Linked DNA regions of Xenopus tropicalis. Each later gene encodes a partner of the first gene's protein in a complex. Links are inferred from orthologs where the notes say so. Each region holds a gene or a part of one and is shown in the gene's direction. Other genes may lie near its edges.

What was found. Proteins that work in one complex are often made in the same cells at the same time.
Region 2: polr3c (region 1) and polr3g share a complex: the UniProt entries of both Homo sapiens proteins name them as parts of the RNA polymerase III complex. The link is inferred for Xenopus tropicalis from reciprocal best matches to the Homo sapiens genes POLR3C and POLR3G.
Region 3: polr3c (region 1) and polr3d share a complex: the UniProt entries of both Homo sapiens proteins name them as parts of the RNA polymerase III complex. The link is inferred for Xenopus tropicalis from reciprocal best matches to the Homo sapiens genes POLR3C and POLR3D.

Annotation. Positions count from the first base shown.
Region 1 is NC_030684.2:141,782,923-141,786,243, forward strand, and holds part of polr3c (DNA-directed RNA polymerase III subunit RPC3), read left to right. Parts: intron 1-287; coding exon 288-380; intron 381-963; coding exon 964-1,044; intron 1,045-1,409; coding exon 1,410-1,461; intron 1,462-1,575; coding exon 1,576-1,636; intron 1,637-2,919; coding exon 2,920-3,070; intron 3,071-3,178; coding exon 3,179-3,280; intron 3,281-3,321. UniProt on the Homo sapiens protein: DNA-dependent RNA polymerase catalyzes the transcription of DNA into RNA using the four ribonucleoside triphosphates as substrates.
Region 2 is NC_030677.2:178,947,103-178,951,036, reverse strand, and holds part of polr3g (DNA-directed RNA polymerase III subunit RPC7), read left to right. Parts: intron 1-2,203; 5' UTR 2,204-2,205; coding exon 2,206-2,319; intron 2,320-3,347; coding exon 3,348-3,477; intron 3,478-3,934. UniProt on the Homo sapiens protein: DNA-dependent RNA polymerase catalyzes the transcription of DNA into RNA using the four ribonucleoside triphosphates as substrates.
Region 3 is NC_030679.2:129,694,007-129,697,456, forward strand, and holds part of polr3d (DNA-directed RNA polymerase III subunit RPC4), read left to right. Parts: intron 1-402; coding exon 403-446; intron 447-696; coding exon 697-845; intron 846-1,907; coding exon 1,908-2,032; intron 2,033-2,157; coding exon 2,158-2,329; intron 2,330-2,876; coding exon 2,877-3,145; intron 3,146-3,440; coding exon 3,441-3,450. UniProt on the Homo sapiens protein: DNA-dependent RNA polymerase catalyzes the transcription of DNA into RNA using the four ribonucleoside triphosphates as substrates.

The DNA of each region.
Region 1 (3,321 bases):
ATGTAGTTTAAGGGGCAGGTATAAACACCTAAATCAAGCAGGTCTTGTATAATGGGCACCAAATACAATCATTGGTTGCTATGGGTTGCTACAACTGGGCACACTTTGGGCCTTATGTTGCATTACCTTCGACCCTTCAGGAAGTAGCGGCAATGTACTACACTGATGCAACAGCAATAAAATGGTCGCTTCCAGTGACAGGCAGCATGGGTTAGAATGACCTAGTAGCTAAGGCTGATCTAAGGCCATCTTGCTTGTGTTTACTTCTTCATAATGGGCTTTTCCAGACCAGCAGTGAGATAGTCCGGACCATGCTGAGAATGAGCGAGGTCACCACTTCATCCAGTGCGGCATACACTCAGCCGCTGTCATCCAATGAGGTCAGTATGAGCCCTCCATTCAAAGATATTCACTGTACTACATGGTTAGGGGGCCACAGTATAATCACTTTTGAATCAACTATTAATATTATGAAAGTAATATTCTGAGACCATTTTCAATTGTTATTGTTCGTGGTTTTTAAATTATTTCGCTTTTTGTTCAGCAGCTATCTGGTTGCTAGGGTCCAAGTTAACCTAGCAACCAAGCAGTGAATTGAATTAGAGACTAGAATATGAATAGAAGAGGGTTGGAATAATGCAAGATGACTATAGTAATAAAATTGCAGCCTCACAGAGAACTTGGTGTCTAGGGCAACCTGGCTGAGGTGTCTAGTGCAGCCTGGCCGAGTTCCCTAGGGTGCCTGGCCGAGTTCCCTGGGGTGCCTGGCCGAGGTGTCTAGGGTGCCTGGCCGAGGTGTCTAGGGTGCCTGGCCGAGGTGTCTAGGGTGCCTGGCCGAGGTGTCTAGGGTGCCGGCTTGGCCCACCTCTGGGAGAGGCTGCTGACAACATAAATGATTAATTCAAAGGTGCAAGAGGTTATTATGCTCAGCTCCGCTTTTACTTTGCTTTTTTTCTGTTTAAGATCTTCAGGTCGCTCCCTACAGGCTACAATATCTCCAAACAAGTTCTGGATCAGTATCTGACCCTGCTAGCGGATGATCCGGTAAGTGACGCAGAGTGTCTGATGCTTACAAAGGGTTAAGATTAAAGGGAAACTATACCCCCAAACAATGTAAGTCTCTGTATATTAGTATGGGCAAAGTTACAGTTAGAGCTGCATCACTTCCTGTCAGCTGATCTCTTAGGGAGCACACAGCCCGTCACTAAATGGCGGCTCAAGGGGAAGGGTGTAAAAGGGCAAAATTTGCTGATATATATATTCCAGTTTGGCACTTGCAGGGCTTGGTTACACTCATGTATCCGTAGGTTGGGAGGGAAGCTTTTTTCCTTTGCACATATCCTGTTATGTACAAGATGAGTCTAATATCAGTGCTGTGCTTCCCTTTATCTCCCCCCCCCTCCCCACAGCTGGAGTATGTTGGACGGTCTGGTGACAGCGGCGGGGGGATGTTTGTCATCAGTATCCTTTATATGTCCGATCCCTTATTGGTTTGGGACTCTCTTCCCTCCCGCCCCTCTCTCTGTAAGATTCACCCTCCTCTTGTGCAGTTGGTCACTTAACCAGGACTTACAGATCTGCACAAAGCGGTCGCTTCCTTGGCCACAGCGACGCTGGAATCGCTCGTACAGGAGAGGCAAGAGAAGGGGCAGCGGTTTTGGGGGTGGGGCAAAATGGGGCAGGTGGGGCAAAATGGAGTCCTGCAGCAGGTCGGGTACCTGTGGGTTACAGTAGCTGGAAAGCGGGTACCCTACGGGATGTGGGTATAGATGGGGGTCAGGTTTCAGGTCTTATCCAATTTTTCTTATTATATTATCTATATTAGCTATATTTTACTCCTTTAAATTAGGGACGCACCAAATCCAGTTTTTTGGGTTCAGCCGAACCCACAAATCAATTGTATGGGATTCGTCCGAATACGGAACCGAATCTAAATCCTAATTGGCCGAATACCGAACCGAATCTAAATCCTAATTGGCCGAATACTGAACTGAATCTAAATCCTAATTAGCTGAATACCGAACCGAATCTAAATCCTAATTAGCCGAATACCGAACCGAATCTAAATCCTAATTAGCTGAATACCGAACCGAATCTAAATCCTAATTAGCTGAATACCGAACCGAATCTAAATCCTAATTAGCCGAATACCGAACCGAATCTAAATCCTAATTAGCTGAATACCGAACCGAATCTAAATCCTAATTAGCCGAATACCGAACCGAATCTAAATCCTAATTAGCTGAATACCGAACCGAATCTAAATCCTAATTAGCCGAATACCGAACCGAATCTAAATCCTAATTAGCTGAATACCGAACCGAATCTAAATCCTAATTAGCCGAATACCGAACCGAATCTAAATCCTAATTAGCCGAATACCGAACCGAATCTAAATCCTAATTAGCTGAATACCGAACCGAATCTAAATCCTAATTAGCCGAATACCGAACCGAATCTAAATCCTAATTAGCTGAATACCGAACCGAATCTAAATCCTAATTAGCCGAATACCGAACCGAATCCAAATCCTAATTAGGCAAATACCGAACCGAATCTAAATCCTAATTAGCTGAATACCGAACCGAATCTAAATCCTAATTAGCCGAATACCGAACCGAATCTAAATCCTAATTAGGCAAATACCGAACCGAATCTAAATCCTAATTAGCTGAATACCGAACCGAATCTAAATCCTAATTAGCTGATGCTAATGCTATGCTAATGGTTCTGCGCAGGACTCTACCCTAGGCGGCAGCTGGAAGCTACGTAGGAAGTATACGGATAATGGTAGGATACTTGTGATTTTCTGCCCTGCATCCTTGCATCAGATAGGGTCTTGCAGAGGTGCTGAGAGTTTTAGTTGCACAAGACCTGGAGGTGACTTATGCCTGACCCCCCCCCCCTTACTCTGTGCAGGTTCGGCTCGCGCTGCGCCAGAATTTTCCGCCTCCTCCTTCGCAAGAGGCACCTGGAGCAGAAGCAAGTGGAAGATTTTGCTATGGTTCCAGCCAAAGAGGCCAAGGAAATGCTGTACAAAATGCTCTCTCAGAATCTGGTGTCCCTGCAGGTCAGTACTGACTGTCAGCTAGCGCTGCCCCCCCCCCCCCCCAGTGTTTGTCGGAGTGGCCCAGCAGGAGACAGCCCAGGGATCTTATACGTGTTCTTTTATATGCAGGAGATTCCAAAGACACCAGATCATGCCCCTTCTAGAACATTCTACCTGTACACCGTCAACACCCTTCCCTGTGCTCGGATGTTACTTCAGAGATGTTACAAGGTACGAAAGACAAGGGGCTGTTCCTGCTGAATTGTGCTTAG
Region 2 (3,934 bases), on another chromosome or scaffold:
GCGGGGGAAGTTGGACCGTAACATTTTATTTTGGGAGGGTCGGACCCTACCATTTTTTGGAGGGGGGGGTCGGACCGTTCCATTTTTAAGAGTGGGGGGGTCGGACCGTACCATTTTTAGGAGCGGGGGGAAGTCGGACCGTACCATTTTATTTTGGGGGGGTTGGACCCTACCATTTTTAAGAGCGGGGAGGGGGATGGACCGTACCATTTTTTTCGAGTGGGGGGGATGGATGTACAATTTTTTAGAGGGGGGTCGGACCGTACCATTTTATTTTGGGGGGTCGGACCCCCCCGCCCTCCAAAAAATGGTACGGTCCGACCCCCCCTCCAAAAATGGTACGGTCCGACCCTCCCCTCCAAAAAAATGGTACGATCCGACCCTCCCCTCCAAAAAATGATACGGTCCGATCCCCCCCCCTCAAATAAAATGGTACGGCCTGACACCCCCTCCAAAAAATGGTACTGTCCGACCCCCCCCAATAACATGGTACGGTCCGACCCCTCCCCCTCCAAAAAATGGTATGGTCCGACCCCCCCCTCCAAAAAATGGTACGGTCCAACCCCAACTCCAGAAAATAGTACGGTCTGACCCCCCCTCAAACAAAATGGTACGGACTGATCCCCTTTCCAATACAATGGTACGGCTCAACCTACTGTTCTTTGACTTCAGCTTTGTCATCTTCTTATTCTTAGCGCCCCCCATTTTCTAAATGCTACTCCTCCTACAGTTTTAGGGGTACAACACCCATCTCTCCACACTTCTTCGCCCTATAGCAGAGCAGGTTGATCCTGCCCCCCGTCTTTTTGTGGCGCCGCTCCGAACACCCCAATTTTCCCATTGACTTTAACAGGGAAGATTTTCAAATTGCTGCCACTCTTACAGCTTTGAAGCTGCATCCCCCAAACTTGAATAACATAATAATGGTGTCACCCCCGAATGAAACAGTGACATTTGTTGGATGACCTCAAAGTGGGAGGGGCCAACAACAGCCAATCAAATTTCATTCATTGACTTTTATGGGGAAATTGAAACTGCTGCCAATCTTACAGCTTTGAAGCTACACTCTCCAAACATGAATCACACCGTCATGGGGTCAGCCTGAATAAAAATATTATGATTGTTGGATGCCCAAAAGTGGGTGGAGCTGTGAACAGCCAATCAGATTTTACCTGTTGACTTGGAGGAAATTCAACACACCGGGGTCCCCAGAGTTATTGGTTTGATGCCAGAGTGCCCAAACTTTGCACAGTCAGTCACTGGGTGACTACGTACTCAAGGTTAGAAAAAGTGGGCGGGGCTGCCAAAAGCCAATCACATTTCTTTCATTGTTTTCAGTGGGGAAATATTAACTGCTGCCATTCTCACAGTATTATCCCCAGGGTCCCCAAACTTTTCACAGTTGGTCACTAGGGGACTGCAGTTAATTTTGAAAAAGTGGGTGGAGCCACCAACAGCCAATCATATTTCACCTATTGAATTTTATTGTTTTGATGTCAGGGTCCCCAAACTTTACATAGTTTGTCACTGGGTGACTATGTTCAAGTTTAGAACAGTGGGCGGGGCCAACAACAGCCAATCAGATTTCACCTATAGACTTCATATGTTTTAATATTAATACCCAAACTTTGCAAAGCAGAGCCACCAACAGCCAATCGATTTCCACCCATTAAATGTCATCCAATCAGATTTCATCCATTGAATTTTATTGGTTTAAATTTAAAATGCTGTCATTCTCACACTGTTTATGCCAGGGTGCCCACTGTTTGTCACTGGGTGACTTCAACTCAAGGTTAGAAAAAGTTGGCACACCCATCAACTACCAATCACAATTTACCTATTGACTTTTATTGGTTTAAATTTAAACTGCTGCCATTCTTTGACTATTAATTCTAGGGTCCCTAAACATTGCAGAGTTAGTCACTGGGTAACTGCAGTTCCAGGTTAGAAAAAGTGGGTGGAGCCACCAATCAGATGTCACTTGTTGACTTTCAGTCACTATTACAACCAGGGTCCCCAAACTTTGCACAGTGGTTTTTACTATGTGACTGTGGTCCAAGGTTAGAAAAAGTAGGCGCAGCCAACAACAGATCAGATTTCATTCAGTGAAAACCGTCAGTGACACGTTTTTCAACCCAACATGAAGTTTGTTCTCAAACTTCCCTTTCTAGTTTTTCATTTTGTTTCTCTTCCCATGCATTAGTAATGGCTGCCAAAGGGAGGGGAAGGGCTGCCTTTACATTTGACATCCAAGCAATTGGATTTTCAAGAGGTGAATCTTTGCCAGAGACTCAGCTAACACCACTGCCAATCTTTCCAGTAAGTAATCTTTGTATACAATAGAAAGAGTATAGCTTGCAGGGAAATGCTTTTTTAAATGGTTTCCTTCCACTGCCCTTTTATTTCAGTAATACAGAGTGGACATGGTCTATGGCAGTAGCTCCAAATCTAGCAATCTAGCAACCACTTAACAAAATTGTGTATCTTGGGCACTTGGAATGACTATACCACTCTCCTCACATATTTTTCAAACTTGTGTGGCTTTTAACACAAAATTACCTAAATGCTTCTCTTGAATATACCTTGAACCTTTATTTAGAGCGAAAGGCAGAAAACGTTTTTGTCTTGCTTTTAATTTACATGATTAATATGCGCCTAAATGAAATTTGTAAAATGAACAGTTATGACAAGAGGATGTAAAACCTCCAAAAAGCTGTAATTACCACAACAATTACACAGGCTATGAAAGCCCAAGTGGCTGGAAAACAGGCTAGCGACAGAGATGCCATACTGTTTGGAGGGCTCACACTAAGCTGGAAGCTGGAGAGCTCACTTAATTACAACCAGTTCCAATCTGCTGGCAGCACAGGCATTCCACAGGGGTAACTGTAGTACAGGTGTAGGATCTGTTATCCAGAATGCTCCGCACCTGGGGTTTTCTGGATAAGGGATCTTTTTGTAATTTGCATACCATACCTTATATATTCTAAAAAGTCATTTAAAGATTAATAAATGAAGTGGAATTGTTTTGACTCCAATAAGGATTCATTCTATCTTAATTAGGATCAATTACAGGGTACTCTTTTATTATTACAGAGAAAAAGGAAATAATTTAAAAGAAATGTTATTTTATCAATAAAATTGAGTCTATGGGAGTCTATGGGATGGCCTTCCTGTAATTCAGAGCTTTCTGGATAACATCCACCATCATGACGCTTTATACCAGACCTGAGTTTTTATTACATCACTAGTGTTTTTATTAACTGGAGGAAACAAATTCATGCAGGCCTCAACAGGCAAGGTAAGAGTTAAACCAAATAATTTTTGTCTGATATTTTTTTTCTTAGTCTACAGAATTCAAACCTGTACCTCTGAAAATAGGGGAGGATCAAGATTATATACTTGCATTAAAACAAGAAATGCGAAAAACTATGAAATGCCTTCCATACTATATGGGAGCAAAAGCTGACAAACAAAGTAGGTACTGTGTACGCATTGCATACTACTTAGCACCAGTAATGCATATAAAGAAAATTTCTAATGTGAGGTCATAGATACACAAAACTATATAGATGTGTATAAATACACAACATGAGAGTAAACTTAACCGCTTGGGTTCAACTGATAGAATCGAGCTGAGAGAAGGAAGAGCTGTTTTTACATAGATCTGGTTCCTGCTGTTTTGATTTACACTGTATTAGGAAGCCACTGAACTTATCACTGCCTGTAGACTCAAGCAACTATCCCCCATATGTATTAAAAGGCATTAAGTTTGCCCAGAAGCAATGTTTGCCCAGGTCTAGTTTCTCATAGCAACCAGATGTTTGTTTTCACAAACCAATAAAAATTGAAATAGGTTATTAGATCATTATCATCCTTTTCACCTTTTTATTAAATTAGCCCAATGAGATTATTTTAGGCCATTTTTAATGAA
Region 3 (3,450 bases), on another chromosome or scaffold:
ACTACCTTGCCAATACCTCAGTATTAAGTACAAGATAGGGGGCGGGAGGAAAGGACGCCTGTGTGCCCCTCCAGCCACCCTTTTTAAACTACACAGTGGGCAAAGTGCAAAAAATGGGCGATTGCAGACCTTTTTTTTTTTGCACACTGCAAGGGGGCTTTGTAAATGAGCCTTTAGTGTTCTTGCCAAACATCTCTATCAGTTCATCTTCAAGAACGGACTCCCTTGTATTGTAGGTCAATACAAATTGCACTGATATTTTGTATAAATCCTACTTCATGTTATTTAATCAGTGTATGGGAAGGCTGTAAGGACATACATTTTATCGTTTTTTTTCTGTATGTCTAATAATATAAGAGTTTTGACATGTCTTAAAGACCTGCACTATCTCTTCTCTTACAGAAAACATTTGCTCCCAACATCATCAGTAGAAAGATAAAAGAAGAGTAAGGAAAATGGCACCTAAAGGGAACTTTCCTGCTTTGTTGTACCCATCTATTTATCTTCTTTTTTTTTTTTTACTGTATCTATTTTTACACCTTTATTTTCTGACTTTCTTGTGATGCTTCACTTATAACAGTTTTACGTTTGCTTTATTCTATATCTATCTGTAGTCTTATCCCCATGCTTCTATTCTGTCCATTCTCTTTCTGGTCTCCCCCACTTTCTTTTCACAATTCCTTGTGTTGTTTCCAGGCCCAAGGAGGAAGTGTCTGTTAAGGTAGAACGTGCAGAGCGTGGAAGGGACCGTCGAGATGGAGCAGGAAGAGGGCGTGGGAAGCCACAAGTCATACAGAGTCACTCCATCTTTGAGCAGGGACCAGCTGAACAGCTCAAGAAGAAAGGTAAAGCATGGGAAGGAACTGGTTTTTACTGGGAGCTCCAGATAATTGGCATAAAGCAGAATGTAACATTTTTGGTACAAAGCTGAACCAGTCACAGTAATTAACAAGACAGTTTGCGACTCAAGTGAGGCAGATTTTTGCCTTATATATGGCAATGTATTTAACACATAGCAGCACATAGTGCAATTTAGAAGACACGGGATACCCTAATGCATTATAGCCAGAGGCATAAATTGTATGCTGCATGATAGGTCCCCTCCCCAGCCACTAGAAACGTTGCCACCTGCTACCGCTTGCCCTGCTGAGGGCAGCATTGCGCTGGGGGGGAGTGGGTTGGAGACTGCCTATGAGTGTGGCGCCACTGAAGATCTCTTACAGGGTGTCCAGCACTGGGTGGCAATGCCACAGATTATAGCTCAGAGGGATGCAAGGGGTAATGGTTACATTTCAATTCTCATTTAAAGCATTAGTGTTTCAGGTCAGATGACTCATACAGGAATGCACCACACCCACAATTTTAAGATTTGGCCAAATACCAAATCCACTACAAGAGATTCCTGAATAAAATGCAAACCCTATTTTATATATTCTAATGGTTAAAATCCTCGCCCCACCCCAAACTTACAGCAGATGTATAATAGTATTGTCCAGTCATATGATATAATGGGCTTGGTTTTGGTTCAGCCATACATGACGGATATTTCAAATTAAAAAAGGCTGTAATTACGTTCAGATTCCAAACCAAATCTGGGGTTCTGTGCATCCCTAGATAAATACACTTAGGAAACAGCAATGTGGAGCATTGAATTTGTCTTTACAATCCTTACAGCTCATTGCTGTGTGTGTATTATTTAAGGCTATGACCTATTACCCTTGGGCTTACCTGTATGTAAGAAACAAGCAAGAATGGCTAAATGGCTGAATATATTTTTTTTGGGGGTGCGTTTGCTTTTTGGTTCATCTTCTTGTTTTAAACTAAAGTGACTTCTTCACATAATTTGCAACTGTGTCAAAAAGTACAATCTACATCTGTTCTGACTGTACCCTCCCTTTAAATTATAGTTGGATGGGATGGACCTTCAGAATCTGCTGACTTTGGCCCATCACACATCATTAACATAAAACGAGAGAAGCGAGAAACTGAAGAGGAGACGAAGGAGATCCTCCGCATGCTGGAAAATGACAAGGTAAATGGTTTACTCTGGAGAATTTAAATGAAAGACAAAGTACAGTACTTTTTTAAATAGTAGTTAAATGTGTTGTACATAGAAGTTAGTGAGAATAAGAATTTTTGTCTTTTTTTCCCTCTTAGTTTCTTGATGACCCTGGCCTCAGGAATGATTCTCAGAACCATCCAGTGCAGATCCCACTTGCCCATTCTGGCTGGCTCTTTAGGCAAGTGGATGAAGAGGAGGATATAAAGCCCATTCAAGGACAACTTAAAGAGGAAAAGATGGAAGTAGATGATACTTCTCAGGTTAAAGGTAATGTCCTTTGTAGACACAACTGTCTTTGCACTTTTCCTTTACAAAGAGCTCTCCAGATACCATGGCAGAAGTTCTCAATGTAGAGCAAAAAACCTAGCATCCGTAATGGAACTGGACTACATTTACTGAGAAAATTAAACTTTCATTAAACCTTAAAATTAATTCATGACAAATTGAAGATCATACTGGTTCTAGCACTACTTTTTCTCTGAGCACTTTTGCAATTTATAGTTATTTTTTATCTTAGCAGTTTCTTAGATGTTTGCATTTTCCAACTACTTATACCAGGCTTTTGGCTTAACTGAGAGTCTGCAACCCTAGGCTTATGTATGTATAGGAAGTGCACAGACAGGAGTGCTGACACTCTGACCTTCAAAGATAGTTGCTAAATTTAAAGCCTGGTATTAGCAGTCTAAAAAACCATTAAAAACAGAAGTTTAATGTTAATTGTATAGTGCTCAAAGTACCAATCTGAATAAGCTGATATGCCTTTTAAAGGGCCAACATGCACATTACACTACATGCTTTCTCTTCCCCTTGCTAGTAAAGGAAGAACCAATGGAGGATGCTGGTGCATGGAAGCCTGGGGTGCCCTCTGCAAAAGTTCCCATTGTTAAGAAACCCCCTGTAACCAAGGATGTGTCCTTCCCAGAGATGCTGGAATCTTTGAGGGTTTCTGATGAAGAATGTCTCTTTTTTGTGCAACTTCCTGACACTCTGCCTGGACAGCCTCCAAGTTTAGAGACAAGGCCTACAAAGACTGAAGTGCAGAGTGAGGATGGCCATATGTTACTGGTCAAGGACAAAGGACAGGTACATAAAGCTACTGCACAGGTGCAGGGACGAGGTGGCCGACCGGGTTGCCTAGGGCGCCCGGTCGGCTCGGCCCGCCCCTGATCTCGGCTATTATTATGCATTATATAGCACCACGATATTCCACAGCACAGGTACTTTATGTTTAACTTGTAGTGACACACCTCTGCTTCCATCAGTTCAAACACTAAACTTTCAGGTCTGCACTGGGGACTCCAGTTAACAAAACATTCTTTTTTTATGCACTGGTGTTAGCGGGTAGTAGTTCTAAATCTTGCCTCTCAATTACTTGTAGGACTCGAAGG